Caenorhabditis elegans: one gene and its partners. The protein of the gene in region 1 interacts with the protein of each later gene in a biochemical or structural test. Each region holds a gene or a part of one and is shown in the gene's direction. Other genes may lie near its edges.

Region 1 (6,462 bases):
AAACTAAAAATATATTTTTTGAGAGAGAAACTTATATCGTATTTCAGGTTTTTCTAACAGTATGGGAGACCATCAATCGTTCGAGCCTCGAGGATGGATTTCCAACTATGTACTCTTATCTAAATGATATAGTTTCAATCTTTACCCTTTTGGCAAGGTATGGGAAATTCAAATTCAGTGCAAAATCTAAAACCAGCAAGTTTTCAGTTGTCTTCGCTTCCCGATATATTTCTGCTGCAATCGGCTAATCCACACGGCTTCCGTTGATACTCTCCATGGAATGCGAATCACTTGTTTAATGGGCAATTCGAAAAAGCCACAGGAATACTCTCCGATCCATGGTATTCCGAATTCTTTGGAGTGTGGTGGTGCTGGTGACGGTGGATCGAAGATGTCGTTAAGTTCTCCAGAAAGTATCTCGAAGCCATCGGCAGTTTATGATGAAAAACTTCAAGAGTGGCGGTTGTAAACGGGTTCATGAATTGTCTCATTTGATTACCTATTTGTTTTTAATTTGCTCCAATTTTTCTTATTTTTAAAAAGTGTTTCATATAAATTTTAGATTTGATATAAATTTTTTGTTTCGAAATTCAACACAAAAACAAACAGAAAACTTTACAGGAACAAATTCAAAGTAGAACATGAGATTAATAATTTACAAGTCACTGAGATCATCAAAATTACGACCGTATTTCTTGCTGGGCACGAATGGTTCCCATCGTGACGCCGGATAAATGTGCTTATTCTTTTCGTACCAACTACGAAGTACTATTTTCGCTGGATGAGATTCTCCATAGTCAAGTGCAGCATCTTGGCGTATACGAACATCGGAAGCCGAATCGAACACGAACAGCGGACCAGTCTTTCCCATTGCTTTTGTGACTATAAAGTCTTGGAACGTGTAGAAATGTGGTATGATGAGATCCTCTTTGACGAACATCAGATTCTCGGCTGTGCACGATTTAAGCTCCGTGAATTCCTTTTTCAGAGCCTGAAAATGAATATTTATAAATATTTTTTGATTTGTTGAAAAAAAAAAACAATTAAAAAATATTTTAGAGGGGAAGTAAAGTTTGTGGGTTTTTGCCCGAAACGGTCGAATTTCATAAATTGCCTTCTCAAAAAATTTCCAAAAAAATAAATACATAGAACACTTTTTTTTTATTTTCTGAAGTTCATTATTACCTCAATGGCTCTTCCTAGACATTGCGAAATCGTGTTTCCTTTCTTGATTTTCATATTTTTCCGATGTGAAGATCCATCCCAATAGGCGTAGGCAACTGTAATTTCCTCGTTTTTCTCGGCATCTTGCTTCACACGCCACTCGGCTGCCAATGATTCTTTCTTTCTGAAACCAGACTTATTATTTTTTATTTATTTGTTCACCGGGATGATCTACACCCGCCAAAATTTGAAATGTCGTTGTTTTTTCTTCTAGAACTCACTTTCTCAAGAACTCCTCTCGTTCTTTATCAGGCAGGAAGCTTGTGTCGACAGTTGGGTCCATTCCAACGCGCTGCAAACATTTTTCGCTTTAATTTTTTCTTTTTAATTATTATTCTTACCTTTTTCGGGATAATTGGTGCAGCATCTTCTTCGTCCTCTTCGTCATCAAATGCAAACGATAAAAATCGCTTCTGAAATTAGCAATATTAAAACAGTTTTTCTCGAATGTTCTACAAAAATGTTTTATATCTGCGTTTCCTCACACTCTCACCTGCCCTCAATTTTTCTTTCTCGAAAGTTCTCAAATTTTTAGAAATCTGGTATAAAAGACTCTTTCGACGAGAAATCTCTAGTCAATTGAACTACAACTGCTACCCGAGTCTAGAGCCTACAACCAAATTTCTACAGCAATCCTTCACATTTACCTGGGTATGTTTTGCAACGTGTTCTTCTTTTTCTCGAGCTTCTTGTGAATCTTTAGATTGAGTAGAAGATGATTGGTCTCCCCGGGCCACTTGTAGATCTCTATAAGGTACACATTTTTATTGTGAGGCTCTCCAAAATGTAGAAAATCGAACCTGTTTGAAATTTCGTTTTTCTGAATATTTTTCATATCATCCAATGATACCAAGCCATAGGTTTTAGACTTCACGACTTCTTCGACTGTTTCATAGTTTGCCATGAATTTATTCGTAATTCCGACCCTGCCTGCAAAATTTGTAGTTTTAATAATTAAAAAGGGGTTTCACCATACATTTTTCTTTGTCTTCTTCAAGCTTTCGCAATTGTTGTTCGATATCTTCCTTTTCACGCTCACGTTTCTTTGCCAAATGAATCAAGCGGCCTTCGTCGGCGCGGGACATTTTATTAACTGCAAAAATAAAATAAAAACCAATGAAAGCAATATTTTTCAACGAGTTCAATATTGAGAGTGACATATAGTTTATTTCGGGATTTTATTTAATATAGAATAATAATTTTAGATTTTTTTTTGGTGCAAAAATACCAAAAAAACGTCTTTTCGACGAAGTAATCTGAAAAAAATGAAGAAAAAACAATTCAAACTAAAAACAAGAAAATGTTTGTGGCCTAGTTACCTATTCTGCAAAACTTCGGCCAGGTGCTGAAAACGCGCTCTATTGACAATTTTCGTCGAGAATTTTCCGCCGAAAAGGGCAATTTGAAAACCAACCAATCAAATTGAAAGGCCACGCCCTCCTTCGAGAACATTTCGCATCTTGTTCAAAATTTAGACCTTCAATTACGCCTCAGAGCTCTGATATTCCCAGTTCTTTCGGTTTTCGGGTGAAGATTTTTGGTTTTCCTCTCACTAATATGGCTTTTATGTTAATCACGGATCATTGTTTTTGATTTTTAAAGGTTTTTGAACAATAGTTTTAGGCCTAAAATTAGTTCATTTCTAGATAAGGTTATAATGTGTTTTTAGTTTCGAAATCATTCGCCATGCGTGCTCTTTCATTCATTGAATCGTTATAAAGTTCTATTCAGTTTTTGTTGCTCGATTGTTAATTGATATTTTTCCAGAACCATGTCCGAGAACGCCGAAACCTTCGCATTCCAGGCTGAGATTGCTCAGTTGATGAGCTTGATCATCAACACTTTCTACAGTAACAAGGAAATCTACTTGCGTGAATTGATCTCAAACGCCTCCGATGCTCTTGACAAGATTCGCTACCAGGTTTGTTTTTTCGCTTCTGAGTCAATTTTTTAAAATATCGGTTTTAGGCACTCACCGAGCCATCCGAGCTTGACACTGGAAAGGAATTGTTCATCAAAATTACTCCAAACAAGGAGGAAAAGACCCTTACCATTATGGATACCGGAATCGGAATGACCAAGGCCGATCTTGTCAACAACCTTGGAACCATTGCCAAGTCTGGAACCAAGGCCTTCATGGAGGCTCTTCAAGCTGGAGCTGATATTTCCATGATTGGTCAGTTCGGAGTCGGATTCTACTCTGCTTTCCTTGTCGCCGATAAGGTTGTCGTCACATCCAAGAACAACGATGATGACAGCTATCAATGGGAGTCTTCCGCAGGAGGTTCTTTCGTCGTTCGTCCATTCAATGACCCAGAGGTCACCCGTGGAACGAAGATTGTCATGCACATCAAGGAGGATCAGATTGACTTCCTCGAGGAGCGCAAGATCAAGGAGATCGTTAAGAAGCATTCTCAGTTCATCGGATACCCAATCAAGCTTGTGGTTGAGAAGGAGCGTGAGAAGGAGGTTGAAGATGAGGAGGCTGTCGAGGCTAAGGATGAGGAGAAGAAGGAGGGAGAGGTCGAGAACGTCGCTGACGACGCTGACAAGAAGAAGACCAAGAAAATCAAGGAGAAGTACTTCGAAGACGAAGAGCTTAACAAGACCAAGCCAATCTGGACCAGAAACCCAGACGATATCTCCAACGAAGAATATGCTGAGTTCTACAAGGTATTTTTAGTTTTAATTATTTTATGGCAATAATTCCATTAATTTCAGAGCTTGTCCAATGACTGGGAAGATCATCTTGCCGTCAAGCATTTCTCCGTTGAGGGACAACTTGAATTCCGTGCTCTTCTCTTCGTCCCACAAAGAGCTCCATTTGATCTCTTCGAGAACAAGAAGAGCAAGAACTCCATCAAGCTCTACGTTCGTCGTGTCTTCATCATGGAGAACTGCGAAGAGCTCATGCCAGAATACCTTAACTTCATCAAGGGAGTCGTCGATTCTGAGGATCTTCCACTTAACATCTCTCGTGAAATGCTCCAGCAATCCAAGATCTTGAAGGTCATCCGTAAGAATCTTGTCAAGAAGTGCATGGAGCTTATCGACGAGGTTGCCGAGGACAAAGACAACTTCAAGAAGTTCTACGAGCAATTCGGAAAGAATCTCAAGCTCGGAATCCACGAGGACTCTACTAACCGCAAGAAGCTTTCCGATTTCCTTCGCTACTCTACCTCCGCTGGAGATGAGCCAACTTCCCTCAAGGAATACGTTTCCCGCATGAAGGAGAACCAAACTCAAATCTACTACATCACCGGAGAGTCCAAGGATGTTGTTGCTGCTTCAGCTTTCGTCGAGCGTGTTAAGAGCCGCGGATTCGAAGTCCTCTACATGTGCGACCCAATTGATGAGTACTGCGTCCAACAACTCAAGGAGTATGATGGAAAGAAGCTTGTCTCCGTCACCAAGGAAGGACTCGAGCTCCCAGAAACCGAGGAGGAGAAGAAGAAGTTCGAAGAGGACAAGGTTGCCTACGAAAACCTTTGCAAGGTCATCAAGGACATTTTGGAGAAGAAGGTTGAGAAGGTTGGAGTTTCTAACCGTCTTGTCTCTTCCCCATGCTGCATTGTCACTTCCGAGTACGGATGGTCCGCTAACATGGAGCGCATCATGAAAGCTCAAGCTCTTCGTGATTCCTCTACTATGGGATACATGGCCGCCAAGAAGCATCTCGAAATCAACCCAGACCACGCTATCATGAAGTAAGTTACCCAAAAACTATTTTAAAATGAACATTCACAAACGTTTTTGCTATTTCAGGACACTTCGTGATCGTGTCGAGGTCGATAAGAATGACAAGACCGTTAAGGATTTGGTTGTTCTTCTTTTCGAGACTGCTCTTCTCGCTTCCGGATTCTCCCTTGAGGAGCCACAATCTCACGCTTCCCGCATCTACAGAATGATCAAGCTTGGTCTCGATATCGGAGATGACGAAATTGAAGATTCTGCTGTTCCATCATCGTGCACCGCTGAGGCCAAGATTGAGGGAGCTGAGGAGGATGCTTCCCGCATGGAGGAGGTCGACTAAACATCCTATTTAATTTATCATTTGTTACGAGAAGATCTCCCCAAAAGCCCCTCCACAGTTTTATTCATTGTTTTCCTGTCTATCGAACCCAAATAAAGTTCCGTAATTAATTTCATCAATGTTTTTTTTTGCAAACGTGAACTTTTGAAGAAGCACATTTGAACAGTTTAGATACTCGAGGGAAATTAAACAGTTTTAGTTTATACGAAACATGATTGCAATCTTATTCGAGTTGGCATGTTTCCTGATCTTGGCCAGTGCTGTTTGCTGCATCATTCCAGAACCGGTTTATACATGAGTTGGAGATGAGTTTAATATCTTTTCATGTTTCAGGAAAAGCCATTCAATCCACCTCCACGTCCAAATTTCAATTATAACCTCTGGGATCCTGTCAATGAAGATTTCGAAGGACGCAAGTTGGATGTTCGTTGGTGGAATCCGGAAGAAGAAGATGAAGATGAAATTGTTCCAATCCCACCAAACCTTGCTGTCTAATCTCTCATTTTATTTCTAAAAATAAAAATTTTTCGATAATCGTTTTATGAACATATGCTTATTCTCTTGAAAAATCCGCTTTCCGCGCACGCAAATCTGTTGATGCGTGCTCAAATTGACATCCGTTACCATGCCAACTCTTTCCAACTGCCCTTGAGAAATTGAAAGCAGCTTTACTGAGCTCTTTCTGTGTTCCGGGCTCTCTTTGCAGTCTGTGCTCACTCCTATTAATTATGAAAACGGCAGGGACTTCGCGTGATACGTCTTCTAATATTCAAAACAAGCGAGTTATGAAGAAACCCAAAGCTATCAGGGTATGTATTAAAAGGGATATTCGAAATAAATGTTTTTTTTTCGTTTTTAGGCTTGCAATTTGTTTTCTCTACAGTACTTCAATTTAAAGGCGCATGTAGTTTTTTCTGCTGCTTAATTTTCAAAATACCGCTGAAAACACTTGAAAAATAACCGGAATATACGCAGTTTTTGTGGGTATACACTTTTTCCGTCACCTCTTAACGGAAAACTGTCGGCAACCGGTCTTCCATCTTTCCGCGCGCGTTTTCTCTCATTCTTCAGTTTTGTGTGTGTCAGCGGCATCGACCGAAAACATGCCGTCGATAGCTCAGTTGGTAGAGCGGAGGACTGTAGAGTTTGCAGATATCCTTAGGTCACTGGTTCGAATCCGGTTCGACGGAGTTCTTTTTGTTTCA
Region 2 (5,555 bases), 6.2 Mb from region 1:
TCGACTCTCTTCTCCAATATTTTCACCATTTTTCAGCTGTTCAATTGTCCAATCGAGATCAGGTTTAGTGACGTCACTCACGAACCACGGGATCGCTTTTCCATGAATTACAACTTTATCGGCAAAACCACGAGAGATGAAAAACTCGGCGACGATCAGGTCTCCAGTCAATTCGACTCCAGAATTATCGAGAATTATGTCGATTCTTCGATTAGTTTCGTGATTTGCATTGATTTTTAATGGACCAAGAACCTTCACAATCATATCGTTGACATCGTCGATAAGTACGAAATCTGCTAGTTTTGAAGAAGCCGACATTGATGACATCGCCTGTAAATAGGTAACAAAATTTGTTAATAGAATTCATTTTCAGGTTCCAAACATTGGTGTGCGGATAACCGATTTTTCGGCAAACGGATAAATCGGTTAATGCTGGTTTAGAAAAACCGGCTAACGGATAATTCGGCAATTTCAGAAAATATTCATATGGTTAAGCTTTTTTTCGTTCTTTCTGTCAATTCAGGTTTTGGGTTAATTTTTTCACTGTTATTGAGCAAAACCAAAAAAAATCAAATAGAAAAAAACTCATATAAATTCAAAAAATTTTGTTTTCCAAAAAAATGTGTTGGCTAACATCAGCCAAAGTCGGCTACCGGAAAACTTTAAATTAGCCAAACTGCCAAAAAGTCCGCGAATTCGGCTAATTGGTAAAAAACTCGGCAAGCAGATCATTCGGCTAATATTAGCCAAATCAGCCAATCGGTAAATTCGGCTAAATCAGTTATTAGCCGCACACCCCTGGTTTCAAACTGTTCCGCATAATAATTTACCAAGGTATGATCGTCTCCACCAGTCAATGACATATCAGCTCGGTTTCCCCACAAGCTCATTTTCAGTATTGTGTTGATTCCGAATAGTTCATGAACTGGAGCATCTTTCGCTGAGATTTTATTGATAAATGCCGCCGACTCTTCGATTTGTGGGAGGCTGAAATGATTATTTTCAACTTTTCGATGAGAAAATAAATTTTGTGATTTTTTCCACCAAAAATACTTTTTGTTATTGCAAACAAAAGTGTGCGCCTTTAAAAAGTACTGTAATTTCAAACATTTTTTCCTGTCTAATTTTGATCGATTTTTTTAATGCTTTTTGATAGAAATGCATTTATTATTGAAAATTTCGAAATTGAAAATTTCCGGCAAATGGGCAAACCGGCAGATTGCCGAAAATTTTGGGCAAATTGTACGCATCCTATGAATGTTCATAGATCTATTGTGAAAAGTAAACAAATTCTATAAAAATAGCTGAAGAAAACGGAAAAAATTATATAAAGGCACAGTTTTAAGTGTTTCCGTCTTATAAAAAATCTCTCTGAGCATTTTCGGCAAATCGACAAGCCGGCAAATTGCCGGAAAAGAGAATTTCCGGCAAATCGGCAAACCGACATTTGTCGGAATTGAAAATTTGCGGCAAATGTGCAATTTGACAAACATTAAAATTTCTGGCAAACCGGCAATTTGCTGATTTGCCGAACGGTAATTGCCGCCCACCACTGAATCAGAGTACTCCTATAGTTTTGGATTACTGATAAAAACCAATTTTTCTTCTAAACAATCGAATTGCCACAGAAAAAATTCTTACTGATCTAGGAAATTTTTGCGCTTCGAGTCCTGGAAATAATCATATTCGCTGAGGCGAATAGTTTTTGCAAACGTGCTCCAGATGAATCTGTAGAGCCAGCACTCAACAAAAAGCCATGGTCCTTTGAAAAAAGTGAGATCTTCAACTTCGTCGGGCTGAAAAAATCATTAATTAATTGAATTCAAGAGAATTATTTACCATTGCAGCAGTTCTCATGTCGCTGAGCAAATTTCTCCACATTTCAGAATCCAACTGGGTGTCCATTAGATTGCAAAGTGGCTTGTCAGTCATGATTTCATATCGAAGCTTTGAAAAAACTTCTAAAATAGCTGCAATATCTGATTCAACTTCCTGAAAGAAAATACAATTATAATTTGATTTTAATTCAATATATTTACGAACACTGCCATATTTCTCAATAAGGCTCGCTCTTTTTTGAGCCAATTGATCGACTAGCCCAGTAACAATCTTCGGCCATCGGTCTCTTACAGTGTAATAGGCGAACGTGCTGAAAAATTGTAATTTACAAACTTTAAAGTCGAAAAATCAATAGAAACCAACCCCTCCTTCTTCCCGCGTAGTTTCGGCGCCAAGTGATCGTACTCGTCGGCGTTCTCCATCACTCACAGAGGTTTTATTACTGAAAATTGAGTTTTCATACAATTTTCGACTGAAAAACGTTAAGAAACATGAAAAATTCCAAGGAAATCGATGTGCCTCGAAAAATCGAACATTTTGGGGTACGGTCAACAATGGCAAACGGCGTTTTCTGTGCAAACACGCGCAAGTGAGTTGCGTACTTGGCGCTCTAAATGACGCGCAAAGAATTGGAATGTTCTAGAGCTCACTTTACGTGATTTTCAAGTTATATGAAGTAATTTTACGTTAATCTCATTCGAATTTACTTTTTTCTGCTGCGTTCTCTTATTGATGTTCGCCTACCGTCATTGTTCAGATCAGGGCTGCGCGACGAACACACAAAACGGCTTATCCAAAGTTAATGTAGAGATGTAGAAAAATATTTGTTCCAGCTTAAAATGGCCTTCAAAAAAGCCTTCAAAAACGCTTCAAATAGTGCTTGAATGTGTCTTTTTGTAGCTTTTCAACAAAAGTAAATGTTATTTTCAGATAGAACAAAGCTTTTTCTACATTTCTACATTAATTTTGAAATAAGCAGTTTTGTGCGTTTTCTGGAAAAAGCGCCGCACAGCCCTGGTTCAGATTTCAATAACTTTATTTTAATATTTTCAGGTAAATTAGCGAGATTCGCAAGATGTCCGGCGAAAAGATCGATATCACCCCAAAGAAGGACGGTGGAGTGTTGAAACTCATCAAGAAGGAGGGTCAAGGAGTTGTCAAGCCAACCACTGGAACGACCGTGAAGGTGCATTACGTCGGAACTCTTGAGAATGGAACCAAATTCGATTCATCCAGAGATCGCGGTGATCAATTCTCATTCAATTTGGGAAGAGGAAATGTGATTAAAGGTATTCAGAGTAATGTTAGCGTGTAGAAAATCATCAATTTCCAGGTTGGGATCTCGGTGTTGCCACAATGACCAAAGGCGAGGTGGCGGAATTCACAATTCGCTCGGATTATGGATATGGAGACGCGGGATCACCACCGAAGATTCCAGGAGGGGCAACGCTGATCTTCGAAGTGGAGCTTTTTGAATGGAGCGCCGAGGATATCTCTCCGGACAGGGATGGGACGATTCTTAGAACGATTATCGTCGAAGGATCCAAAAACTCTTTCCCAAATGACACCAGCAAGGTTTTGGCACATTGCGTCGGAACCTATCAAGGCACGGAGTTCTACAATCGTGAAGTGAACTTCCACATCGGAGAAGGTTCGGAAGAAGGCCTTCCGGAAGGTGTCGAGCGGGCTTTGCGTCGTTTCCAGCTTGGAGAAAAGTCAAAAATTGAAATTCGCGGTCATAAGTACACCTACGGAAACTCTCCACCTGCTGGATCAAATATTCCAGTCAATGCTACTCTTGAATTCACAATTTTCCTGAAGGAGTTCGAAAAAGTTCCAGCGACTTGGGAAATGACTGCAGAGGAGAAGCTTGATGCTGCGAAACAAGCCAAAGATCGTGGAACCATGTACTTGCAGAAGGGAAATCTCAAATTGGCCTACAACAAGTACAAGCGGGCCGAGGAAGTGTTGGAGTATGAAAAGTCAACTGATCCCGAGAAGATGGCCGAAAGAGAGACAATTTTGAACGGAGCGTATCTTAATTTGAGTCTGGTTTGTTCGAAGCAAAACGAGCAATTGGAGTGCATCAAGTGGTGCGATAAGGTCCTGGAAACGAAACCAGGAAACGTCAAGGCACTGTATCGCAAAGCAACTGCCCTCTTGACCATGAACGAAGTCCGAGATGCCATGAAGTTGTTCGAGAAGATTGTGGAAGTAGAGCCGGAGAATAAGGTTTGCAGGAAATCTGTTGAGTTTATAATTTGTAATATATTAATTCAGGCCGCCGCTCAACAAATCATCGTCTGCCGTAACACGATCCGCGAGCAAAACGAGCGTGACAAGAAGCGCTTCAAGAATCTATTCGCCAAAATCTCCACAGAAGAAGACAAGCCAACCAACACTGTTGAGGATGAAGATGAAATCGTTGCATCCACGTCTGGAAGCTCTACTTCCAATGCTTAGATAACCTCTCTCTCCCAGTATCCCCTATTTATTCGTAATGTGTTTTCATTGTGATCTCTCTTCCCCAGAATTCAAGCTATTGTTTTCCCTTTTATTGATATCGCATATCATGGTAGTTGTATACTGTAATATTTATTTAAATTAAGATTTATTGCTCTGTACATGTACAATCCAGTCAGGTTAGATAATTATTTCGTCTCCCAGGTTCCCATCCGGAATACAATTGTATTCAAAGGCCCAGTGGTTAGATGCATTGAACTGCTCTCCGGTGTCATAAGAGATGAACATCGAGTTCTGCGTAGTTTTTATGAGATCCACAGAGCTTGGAGAGAATTGACGGAATCTATAATCACTTTTTAATTCTTTAAAATTACAATTTCAATCAAAGTCACTCACATTTTCAACTTTCCCGCGGTTTCATCGTTTCCATTAAATATCTTGACTCGATCGGATTTATCCAGCTGCATCGCCTTCAATTTCAGTGCCACGTGATGAGCAATTGGACATTGAATGAGATAGTATTGGATGAGGAAGGAATCCGGAGAATTTGGATAATTGTTCGATGTAACTGTGCCAAAAGAGTTCGATGAGAACACTTTCACAGGAAGTGGACGTCTGGAAATTGAAGATTTTCGGATAAAATTCAAAATCGAATTTTTTGAACTGGATTTGAAAAAAAATTCGAAAATTTCTAAAACCATCGACTTTATTACATGAACACAGAATTCTGAGAATGCGTATTGCACAACATATTTGACGCGTAAAATATCTCGTCACGAAAACTACAGTGATTCTTTAAATGACTATAGTATACTGTAGCGCTTGTGTGTCGATTTACGGGCTCATTCGTTTCTTCGCATTATTTTCTAATTATTAACTTAATTTCAATACTTTTTCGATAAATAAATGTGTTTTAATCCATTTGAGCTCGTAAATCGACACAAGCGCTACAGTAGACATTTAAAAAATTACTGTAGGTTTCGCTACGAGATATTTCAAATATGTTGCGCAATACGTATTCTCAGAATTTTGTGTGTGTGTGTTTTTTTTTAGTAATATCTGAACATTAAAAAAAATTGAAATGTTTTCTTTATATTGAAATTTTTCTGAAGAAAACGGAAAACGGAACTTTAAAAAAGATGTTCCTTTTTGGGAAATCGAGTATTTTCAGTTTTCTGAAAAAAAAACAAAAAAAATTTAATTTTCTGAAAATAGCAGAAAAAGAAGAAAAAACTTTTTTTTGAAAACCTAAA
Region 3 (5,259 bases), 3.9 Mb from region 1:
ATTAGAAATTCGTACCTTCTAGTTTGTTTAGTCGTTTCAGCAAAATAGTCGATATTTTCATAGTTATAGATTTTATATAATAAAAATTAAATCACAAGTGTCTCATGGTAAAGAAGATTTCCAATAAACATGCCACTGTGTTGAAGAAACTAAATAAAAACAAAAGTGACGAATTACAGCGTTGCCCGCATGGAGGAGTTGAGACGATGAATATGTTTTTAATTTATGTGAAAAAGATAAAAATCAATTAACGAAAAAATTCACATGCATTAAACATTTAGAGAAGTGTAAACATTTTAATTTTCACAATAAATGTTTGGTAATTAGATTCTCCGGGAATTTTGCGTCGATGAAGTGGTCATAAAGCGCGCTCTACCGCACTCAGTTCGAATGATGACAATTTCACCGGGTTTTCTTTTTCATTTGCTCCTCGCTTTAAAGCAAACGCTTTCTTGTTGTCAATTGGTGTTCGATTAAATTTCTCAGTTAAAATAAATTTTTCAGAAATCACTGAAAAATGGGAGATCACTATGGATTCTCACTCACCACCTTCAGGTAGTTTAAATTCAATCTCCAGAAAAGTCAATTTTATTTTTATAGCCCATCGGGAAAATTGATGCAAATCGAATATGCATTGAATGCTGTCAAGAATGGGCAACCATCGGTTGGACTGAGAGGTATTCAAGTTTTTGTCTTGTACTGTCGTTTTCAATGGGAAATTCATTTTCAGCTAAAGACGGAGTCGTTCTTGCGACCGAGAATGTCGGATCTGTTCTCACCGATGACCAGCCAAAGGTAGAACAAATCAGCAAGCATATTGGATGCGTCTACAGTGGAATGGGACCAGACTTCCGTATTTTGGTGAAGAAAGCTCGCAAGATTGCTATGGAATACGAAATGATGTACGGCGAGGAAATGCCAACCATTCAACTTGTCACTGACATCGCGGCCGTAATGCAGGAATATACTCAATCTGGGTGAGTTAGAACTTTTCTAAACGCACTCTATTCAGATTTTTCAGTGGTGTTCGTCCGTTTGGAGCATCGCTTCTTATCGCAGGTTGGGACAAAAATCCAGGACGGCCATTGCTCTTCCAATGTGATCCATCTGGAGCTTACTTCGCATGGAAAGCAACAGCACTCGGGAAAAACGACGTCAATGCGAAAACATTCCTCGAGAAGCGCTTCAGCGAGGCCCTCGAGCTCGATGATGGAATTCACACTGCTCTTCTGACACTGAGAGAATCGTTCGATGTTGGCATGAACGAGAACAACGTTGAGGTGGCTGTTTGTAACTCGACCGGATTCCATCGGCTCACCAAGCAACAAGTCCATGATCACCTTGGAACTCTTTAAATCGAGTGATTTCACAATTTTCTTTCTTTCTTTTCTCTAATTTATTCTATGTATTCTCCCATCTATCCGTACCCGGTAGTAATCTCTTTTTGCTACGGTGTTTTGTTGGAACAATGAATCCTTTTACCGTTTTACACCCGACTTTTGAGGTACTTTTATTAAGGTGTATAACCCTATTAGGTTGTTTATCTTGACTGAATTTTCTCAGACTTATGAACAAACTTGTTTTCAGCTATTAATCAAAATGTCTTCAAAACCAAGGTGAGCATTAAAATTTACAGGATAGTGAATTTTAAAAATTTTGAAATAAGAATTCGTTACATTCAAATTTCAGGCATGATTGGTTCCAGAGTGAAACTGATGTCACTTTAACTATCCTAAAACGCGGAGTGCCTCTCGATGATTGCTCTGTTTCTCTATCAGATAACAACACACTGACGGTCAAGCAATGTGATGAGATTCTCTTCTATGGACAATTATCTGGTCAAGTGAAAAAAGATGATCTTACTGTAAAATGCACTGCCGCCAAGGTTAGTTGGGTTGAAATATTATTGTAGATCCATTAGAAACTAGAAAACTAGATAAATGTCTAAACGTCAAGATTTTCTAGTGATCCTCCCAAGCATACCTTATTTATTAAATTATGGTTATTAACATTAAAAACATGTTTTCCGGCCATGGAAAATTGATTGGAATTTGTTTAATTTTAGTGTAGTTTATTTTAACTCGATTGAAACAGTTATTCAAGAATAGTCTGAGAAATTGCGTCTAGTCAGAAAATGCTAGCTATTAATGCTATTAATGCTCTACATTCACCTGAACGAGTTATAGATTGTACCAAGTAAGGACATGTGGCTCAGTGGTAGAATATACCCTTACTACGCATACAGTTGTGGTTCGGTAACGACAGGATGATGAGTCACTCGCTGAGTGACAATAAGCCGAGTGTTAGCGGTTTTTATGTAATCGTGATGATCATTCCCTCAAAAGCGATAATTGTGAACTGACTGTCCGAAACCACAAAAAAAAATAAAAAATTGCGTTCCATAATAACTTGATTGGATTTAAAAACGTCCAGAGCAAAATTTTTGAATAAAACAACTTTTATTTAAAACTTATTCCAGGTAGAAGTTCGACTTCCGAAATTCGCTCGCAATGAACGATGGGCTTCTCTGCTGAAAGACGGACAAGGTGTTGCCGCTTCTGTACAGAGTGTATCACCAAATCCAGAAAGTGCACCAACTACTACTGTGAAAAAGAATTGGGATGCTATCGAGAAACAAGCTGTAAAAGAAGAGGAAGATGAATCGCTGGAAGGTGATGCCGCTGTAAACAAAATGTTCCGTAAGATGTACAACGACGCTTCGGATGATGTCCGACGTGCCATGATGAAGAGCTATTCGTAAATCGTTATTGCCTGAAAACCAAGAGATTATAGTGATTATTTTCAGTGAATCAAATGGAACCGTCTTGTCTACAAATTGGTCTGAAATTGGTCAAAAGAAAACGGAATGTCAGCCACCAGCATGTATGGAATATAAGGAATATGAAAAGTGATGATTAAATTCTTATTTTGTTATATGAACACCGCCAAAAATGAAACTTCATGTCAAATGTTTTGTTTTAAAGTTTAATTAAAATCTCATATCCTCGATATCCCCTTCAGATTCGTTGGTCCCCTGACGCTTGATAACTGCTTTGTCTCTGGAGGTGTATAATTTTTCATAACCATTATGTGGTTCCGGATCTGTTGGATCTGTGGATTGTGAGCTCGTATCTGATTCAAATGGAAGAAAAGCTTGTGATAGTGATGGACGTTTCTTATTTGTCATTTCCAATCTGATGGTATTCATTGTCTCGGTCTTGGCGACCTTTCCAGCTATTTGTTCGATCCATTTCTCCGTTTCGTTTTTCTGCTGGCTCCACTGTTGTTTTACTTGATCCTGAAACGTTATATTACTCAATTGAAGATAATAGCTCTGATCACCTGAATATAGGATTCAATGTCTTCTGCATGCCTCCTCATCTCTTCAAGAGACATATCTTTCAAATCCGGATCTTCAACAGAAACAGTTTGCACTTCAGTGTAATCTAGCTGAAAAGAGCATTCTGGATGGACAATCGTGTTGTGGCATCGCGTGAAGCTCAATGGTGCTGGTGGAGCACGATTTGGCGGTGGAGGTGGTGTACGATCATCGCCCAAACGAATCTCGACATTGCATTGTGCACTAGATGAACCCGGAAATTGATTCGATGACGGTGAGAACGATATCGTGTCATATTTATGACTTCCCTGTGGTCGGAGAGCAGATTCAGAACGATTACGACCATTTGCGGAGAGAATCGGAGGCGAAAAAAGTTGTTCCACACTTGTAGACTGTAAACAGGAAGGAATGTTATTTATTATTTTGTTGTGGACTTAAGTGTACTTTAAAAACATTACAATATTCGGTATGGAACGTAAATATTCTGTAAAATACAAAACTGTTCAAATTTACAATTCTTCTAATTTCGTACTAACAAATTTGATAATACATTTGAGAAGTGTCACGTCACACTGTAAAAAGGTTACTGTGGCTTGCGTCGATTTATGGTATTGCATCATCCTTTTCAACAAAAAACATGAAAGGTAGCATACAAATAATCTCATATGTAGTAATAGCTATACTTACTATTATCAGGTTGTCCCATAAGTTTTTGTACTTTTTTTCAAATATTTTTCCAAAACTTCTAGAAAGTTTTAAAATTTTTTCATCGTAGGTCGTGTCAAGGTCGGGTCGTCCCCTTTCAGAAAAGATTCATTTCATCCATTTCTACTTTGCCACGATGACAATCATCAAACTTGAACGTCGAGACGTTAGATTGCTTCTTCTTTATGAATTTCGTCTTGGTCATTCAGCAATGGAAGCGGAACGAAACATATGCGGTGCGATGGGTGAGGGAGCACTCTCTTATAATACAGCAAAGAGTTGGTTTCAAAAGTTCAAGAACGGCGACTTCAGTCTCGAAGAAATAGAACGTTCTGGGCGACCGGTAGAGTTAAATGAAGAAGACCTAGTGAAGCTGGTGGAGGAAGAGCCTCGTCTTAGTCTTCGTGAAATGGAAGAGAAGCTTGAGTGTTGTCATAGCACAATTGCACGTCACTTGGGTCGCCTTGGTTTTACTTCAAAACTTGGAACTTGGGTGCCTCATGAACTTTCGGCATCACAGAAGCTCACTCGGGTCAACGTTTGTACTCAACTTCTAACTTTTCGTCGAAAGTTCGATTGGCTGAACAATCTGGTTACTGGAGATGAGAAGTGGGTGCTCTATGTTAACCATTCCAGAAAACGTCAATGGCTTCCGATCGGTGAGAAAGGAATACCGACGCCAAAGCCCAAAAAAGATTATGATCTGTGTCTGGTGGGGTGTTCAAGGACCCGTGCACTGGGAATTGTTGCCAACTAATAAAACTATCACTGCTGATTACTATTGTGCCCAATTGGACCGAGTTGCAGAAAAGACCAACGGAAAATATGAAAAACTATATTTTCTTCACGATAATGCTAGGCCTCATGTCGCCAAGAAGACTTTCCAAAAGCTGCAAGATCTTGGTTGGACTGTTTTACCGCATCCACCATATTCTCCAGATCTTGCACCAACCGACTACCATTTGTTCTTGTCTCTCAGTGACTACATGCGCGACAAGCAATTCGACGACGAAGAGCATCTCAAAACTGAACTCTCCACTTTCTTCTCATCGCGTTCGCCGGATTTCTTCTCCCGTGGCATCATGATGTTACCTAGTAAATGGCAACAAGTGGTGGACACTAATGGTGAATACTTGTGTGAATAGTACTACTTGTCGCTTGAGAGAAATAAATTTTTTTCAAAAAAAAAATAGTACAAAAACTTATGGGACAAC
Region 4 (5,230 bases), about 14 Mb from region 1:
CGAACTTTCAATCATCTTCGAACTCTCTATCAACTTCGAAATCTGCTGGAAGGGAAAATATCCCAGACTCCCCATAAATTCACTAGTTCTCCTGTTTTCTGATACTTTCGAAACTTGTTTTTTTGTTTTTTTTTCCATTTTTCGTTAAATGTTTTTTTTCTGTTGTTTTTTCATTTTGTTTCATTTTCATAATAAATCGTGTTATTTTTTATGGTTTTATAAAAGTTTAATCCAATATGAAAGCAAAACTAGCTAGCAAGAAAGCATAACTACGTAGCAAAACATCACCGCTAATCAGCGGAAAAGCACAATTACTGCGGTTGACTAAGCCGTGACATAAATGCTAATTAGCAGTGATTTTCTATCGCTCTGCCGTGACTCCAGTCTATCTGAGGGGTACTGTAGGGGTACTGTAAGGGTACTGTAGTTTAGGAAAAATTGACTTTTCGTGTTTAGGAAGAATATTGGCTTGGGGTTAGACTGTCGCAGTACTGTAGAGGTAGTGTAGGATTACTGTAGTCTTGGAATATCTGACTTTTCGTTTTTTGAGAGGATATTGGTTTGGATTTAGTGGGGTTAGATGGTCGCAGTACTGTAAGGGTACTGTAGGATTACTATAGTTTAGAAAAAATTCACTGAAGTTTAAAGGAAAAGTCGTGGTGAGACCTATCATGGCTAAAGCCATTCGTTTTGGCGGGAATTCAAATTTTCTGACTATGAGAAAAAATTTTGGCAAGAAATTCAATTTCTGAGAAAATAAAACTTTCTAGAAAAATTTTGAAAATTGTGGAATTAATATAATAAAAATTTTAAAACGTTAACCTTTTTCAGCCATTCATTTCTTAAAACAAAATCACTCCGAAAAACGTTGATCTGGCTCTTGATTCCTGTTATCTACGGTTTCCTCTGGGCAGTCAATTTATATTGTACACTATGGGTCAACACGGATACTGAACAGATATTACAGGGGTGAGTAAAATGAAATGCTTGTTGTACTCTGTTGAACTTCTCAGGAATGGGTATTTACGCGAGAATAAGTTAAACATATCCGACGTAACATATATTGGGCCCAACTATTGGAAACTTGATGAAAATAGAAATGAAGTTATAAATTGGAGAACAATGTTGGGAATGTCTATTGCATCGACACTGATCTCGATTTCCTTCGCAATGATTGTCATTTTTGCAACTTTAAGCTACAAAGAGGTCTCCAAGCTAACCGAGCTGACTTCCCACTCCGAAAAATTCCGTTCAATTCAACTGCAACTTTTAAATTCTTTGGTGTTGCAATCACTTGTCCCGGCGTTTTTCATACAGTTGCCATCGTTCGTCCTATTTCTGGCGCCTTTTTTTCATTGTGGAAGGCCAGTGTTTGGCGAGATAATTGGTGTGACGGTTGCTCTATACCCAGTCTTGGACTCACTTCCAACAATTTTAGTGATCAAGGCTTTCCGTGAAGCAATATTTCGTGAGTAAAAGTTGCCAGCCAAATAAGTTGAGTGTATTTTCCAGATTGTTGCCCATTCACTAATAAAAATGCTACACTTCCCACATCCGTAGCACTGGTTACTATTCAATAATAATACATTCAATTTAAATGATAGAAAATGGACTGTATAACTTAATCGAAACTTGTTTTTACACTTTGCAAGAATCTGATTATTTTAAAATTTTTGTAGATCACAACGATATGGGACATTATGACACCACGAGAGAAATGTCTGAAAATTTACACACATCAAAGTATATACAATAAATCGGTCATTACGGCTCATTTTCTATCTTTTAAAGTAAACATTTTGCGTCAAGAATACGGTAGCCGGTCTCGACACGACAAGCCTTTGTCAAATGAGAAAAGGTGTGCGCCTTTAAAGAGTACTGTAATTTCGAGCTTTTGTTGGTACGGAACTTTTATCGATTTTTTTTTAGAATTTACGTGTTTTTATTTGTTTTATTCAAGTCTTTTTATTAAATAATAACAGTTGAGACGAAAATATGAAAACTCGATGAAAATTCCACAACAACAAGAGTTTGACGCTACAGTAATCTTTAAAGGAGCACACCCGATTACATTAAACAAAAATAGTCGCGTCCAGACCTGGTACCATATTTTTGACCAAAAATATTCATTATTCCGCGAATTAATGATAACAAAAGTCAGAATTTTGTTTAGTTTCGGGAAAATTCGGAGCAAAATTCAGAAAAATTCAAAATTTGACTCGATGCTCGTTATTTTCCGGAGTATCTGTATTTTTATCGTGAAATCCAGTTCACATTGGGTATTCCGGGCGCCTTTACTTTTCTTTTTTAAATTTCCTAATCAATTTCTATATTTTTATGTATAAAAATCGATCTAAAACGAAACGGGTATTATTTAAAATTCAAGCGTCTCCCGCCAAGCGATTATTTTCTCTGCGTCTCTCTCCTTCGCACACTCTCTGCCTCGCTCGCTCAATAGAGCGCGTTTGCCATTGGCAAATTTTCTCGAAGAATTCCTCATTTTCTCGATTCATTTCCTTCTTTTCATCGTTTCTGCTCACTTTTATCTCATTTTTTTTTCAGATTTTTTCAATATTTCGGCAAAAATGACGGACGCCGTAAGTTTTTCAACAATTAATCAATAAAATTCAACTAAAATTCCCTATTTTCAGGCGATTGCTGAAAAAGATCTCGGAAATGCTGCCTACAAGCAAAAGGACTTTGAAAAAGCTCATGTTCACTACGACAAAGCGATCGAGCTTGATCCTAGTAATATTACCTTCTACAACAACAAAGCCGGTAGGTTTTTATTTAAAAAAAACTGTAGATTTTCCCTAATTTTCCGAATTTCAGCCGTCTATTTCGAGGAGAAAAAATTCGCGGAATGTGTGCAATTCTGCGAGAAAGCCGTCGAAGTTGGACGCGAGACCCGTGCCGATTACAAGCTTATCGCCAAGGCCATGTCTCGTGCCGGAAACGCTTTCCAGAAGCAGAATGACTTGAGTTTAGCCGTCCAATGGTTCCACCGCTCGCTCTCCGAGTTCAGAGACCCCGAGCTTGTCAAGAAAGTCAAGGAGCTCGAGAAGCAGTTGAAGGCGGCCGAGCGTCTTGCCTATATCAATCCAGAGCTTGCCCAGGAGGAGAAGAACAAGGGAAACGAGTATTTCAAGAAGGGCGACTATCCGACAGCGATGAGGCACTACAACGAAGCGGTGAAGCGTGATCCGGAGAACGCGATTTTGTACTCAAACCGGGCCGCGTGTCTGACGAAATTGATGGAATTCCAGAGAGCTCTTGATGATTGTGACACTTGTATTCGGCTGGACTCGAAATTTAGTACGATTTTCTAATTTTTTTGCTCAGAATTAACTAAAAATTGTATTATTTCAGTCAAGGGATACATCCGCAAAGCCGCTTGCCTCGTCGCAATGCGTGAGTGGTCGAAGGCTCAGCGAGCCTACGAAGATGCTCTCCAAGTCGACCCATCCAACGAAGAAGCCCGTGAAGGTGTGCGTAACTGTCTGCGAAGCAACGACGAGGATCCCGAGAAGGCCAAGGAGAGAAGTCTCGCCGATCCAGAAGTTCAGGAGATTCTCCGCGACCCAGGAATGCGTATGATTCTCGAGCAGATGAGCAACGACCCGGGAGCCGTGCGAGAGCACTTGAAGAATCCGGAGATCTTTCAGAAACTCATGAAGCTCCGCGACGCTGGAGTCATTCAGATGCGCTAATTATTTGATTGCTCCCGGTTTTTCACCCATTATTTGATTTTTATTTGAATTTTTCTCCCCCCCCCCCCCCCCATGGTCTGTGTTTTTTGCATCTCGCTCGTCCTCTGGACTCGTCTTCAAAATATAAAAATATATTTATCGTCGTCGCAACTAAAAGACAAACAAAATCTCATTAATTTCAGACATTTTTTTGTACTTCGCACTACAAAATTGTTCATTCGACTGGAAGCTGAACCAAAAAATTCGTCGAAAACAAAAAAGTCACAACTTCCTTCCCTTATGTCTTCTTTGGTGACGTCGGTAGCGATTTCAGCGATTTTTTTCACCGAAATCAACGTTTTTCTGAATTTCTACCTGCTTTCTCAAATATTTATACGAAAGAAAATCCAGAAAAAGCCAGAATTATCACTGATTTATTGCCGTTTTCTAATCGACGTGATTTATTCTTTCGATAGTGAGTTATTTTTAAGCGGAATCTAGGAAATTTCTCCAAATTTGCCCGATTCTGCTCGAAATCGCGAGTTTCTTTCCCCAAAACCATTTTCAAACGCGCGCCAGGGACATTCTCATTGGAGCGCGCCGCGTGTGTCGATTTACGAGAGTTCGCATTTTTCTCGAGTTTTTTGCGGAAAAAATCGAAATTTCAATGTTTGAAGCGAGAAAAAGTGATGAAAAAAAAGGAAATTCATTGAAAAAATCGGAAATCTGAAAAATAAAATTTTCTTATAACCTGAAACATGGTAAAATCTTAATGTAAGTGTTCAAATTATCAGTCATACGTAAAAAACGGAAAAATTATCGGCAATTTGCCGGTTTGTCGGAAATTTCGAATCCGGCAATTTGCCGATTTACCCGAAATTTCGATTCCGGCAATTTGCCGGTTTGCCGGAAAATTCAATTTTAGCAATCTGCCGATTTGCCGGAAATTTTCAATTCCGGCAATTTGCCGGTTTGCCGGAAATTTAAATTTCGCCAATTTGCCGATTTGCCGGAAATTTCAATTTCGGCAATTTGCCGATTTGCCGGAAATCTTCAATTCCGGCAATGTTCACGTCACATATTTCTGGCGAAAAAGTTCCCGCATTTATTGTAGATCACACCGAAATGGGACAGCCTGGCACCGGGATTCCCAGTCAGGGGTTGGCGGCAAACAACTTTTCCGGCAAACCGGCGAATTGCCGGAATTGAAAATTTCCGGTAAATCGGCCAATTGCTGGAATCGAATTTTCCGGTAAATCGGCCAATTGCCGGAATTGAAGATTTCCGGCAAACCGGCAAATTTCCGAAATTGAAGATTTCCGGCAAATCGGCAAACCGGCAAACTGCCGGAGTTGAAATTTCCGGCAAATTGGCAACAAACAAGAATTAAAAAAAAACAATTTCAGCATCAATATTTTTGATTTATTCCCTGATAAAAACGCTTTTTCCCGAGTTTTCTGTGAAAAACCTGGCATATTTCGTCGCTTGGCCCGGCTTCAACTTGGGAACTATTCGCTGCTGGATTGTATTTTTTATAACAT

Evidence for each region.
Region 2: the proteins of hsp-90 (region 1) and fkb-6 form a complex in vitro, tested with the Caenorhabditis elegans proteins (one study listed by BioGRID).
Region 3: the proteins of hsp-90 (region 1) and D1054.3 form a complex in vitro, tested with the Caenorhabditis elegans proteins (one study listed by BioGRID).
Region 4: the proteins of hsp-90 (region 1) and sti-1 form a complex in vitro, tested with the Caenorhabditis elegans proteins (one study listed by BioGRID).

The regions. Positions count from the first base shown.
Region 1 is NC_003283.11:14,683,169-14,689,630, forward strand, and holds hsp-90 (Heat shock protein 90), read left to right. Parts: upstream 1-2,991; 5' UTR 2,992-2,995; coding exon 2,996-3,145; intron 3,146-3,192; coding exon 3,193-3,897; intron 3,898-3,945; coding exon 3,946-4,931; intron 4,932-4,989; coding exon 4,990-5,257; 3' UTR 5,258-5,371; downstream 5,372-6,462. Other genes in the region: C47E8.3 (G-protein coupled receptors family 1 profile domain-containing protein), read left to right, coding at 48-157, 208-469; C47E8.4 (Protein FAM50 homolog), read right to left, coding at 656-991, 1,186-1,348, 1,446-1,516, 1,566-1,637, 1,872-1,971, 2,025-2,154, 2,201-2,309; C47E8.11 (uncharacterized protein), read left to right, coding at 5,469-5,543, 5,591-5,752; gasr-8 (uncharacterized protein), read left to right, coding at 5,986-6,066. UniProt on the Caenorhabditis elegans protein: Molecular chaperone that promotes the maturation, structural maintenance and proper regulation of specific target proteins involved for instance in cell cycle control and signal transduction. Undergoes a functional cycle that is linked to its ATPase activity.
Region 2 is NC_003283.11:20,843,266-20,848,820, forward strand, and holds fkb-6 (peptidylprolyl isomerase), read left to right. Parts: upstream 1-2,892; 5' UTR 2,893-2,914; coding exon 2,915-3,128; intron 3,129-3,172; coding exon 3,173-4,071; intron 4,072-4,119; coding exon 4,120-4,302; 3' UTR 4,303-4,462; downstream 4,463-5,555. Other genes in the region: F31D4.2 (Sugar phosphate phosphatase), read right to left, coding at 1-330, 831-987, 1,642-1,796, 1,840-1,992, 2,044-2,149, 2,203-2,261; clec-264 (C-type lectin domain-containing protein), read right to left, coding at 4,483-4,645, 4,699-4,917.
Region 3 is NC_003283.11:10,769,864-10,775,122, forward strand, and holds D1054.3 (SGS domain-containing protein), read left to right. Parts: upstream 1-1,587; 5' UTR 1,588-1,599; coding exon 1,600-1,616; intron 1,617-1,689; coding exon 1,690-1,885; intron 1,886-2,261; exon of another isoform or gene 2,262-2,367; intron 2,368-2,479; coding exon 2,480-2,757; intron 2,758-2,806; coding exon 2,807-2,912; 3' UTR 2,913-2,969; downstream 2,970-5,259. Other genes in the region: D1054.1 (PNPLA domain-containing protein), read right to left, coding at 16-61; pas-2 (Proteasome subunit alpha type-2), read left to right, coding at 518-555, 601-677, 731-977, 1,022-1,355; D1054.5 (CBS domain-containing protein), read right to left, coding at 2,990-3,298, 3,343-3,732.
Region 4 is NC_003283.11:771,006-776,235, forward strand, and holds sti-1 (Stress-induced-phosphoprotein 1), read left to right. Parts: upstream 1-2,512; 5' UTR 2,513-2,585; coding exon 2,586-2,597; intron 2,598-2,651; coding exon 2,652-2,778; intron 2,779-2,832; coding exon 2,833-3,315; intron 3,316-3,369; coding exon 3,370-3,710; 3' UTR 3,711-3,770; downstream 3,771-5,230. Other genes in the region: str-238 (Seven TM Receptor), read left to right, coding at 832-969, 1,014-1,468, 1,513-1,580; srbc-58 (Serpentine Receptor, class BC (Class B-like)), read left to right, coding at 3,990-4,164, 5,096-5,230. UniProt on the Caenorhabditis elegans protein: Plays a role in gonad development. Up-regulates longevity and thermotolerance. Binds daf-21/hsp90 and inhibits its ATPase activity.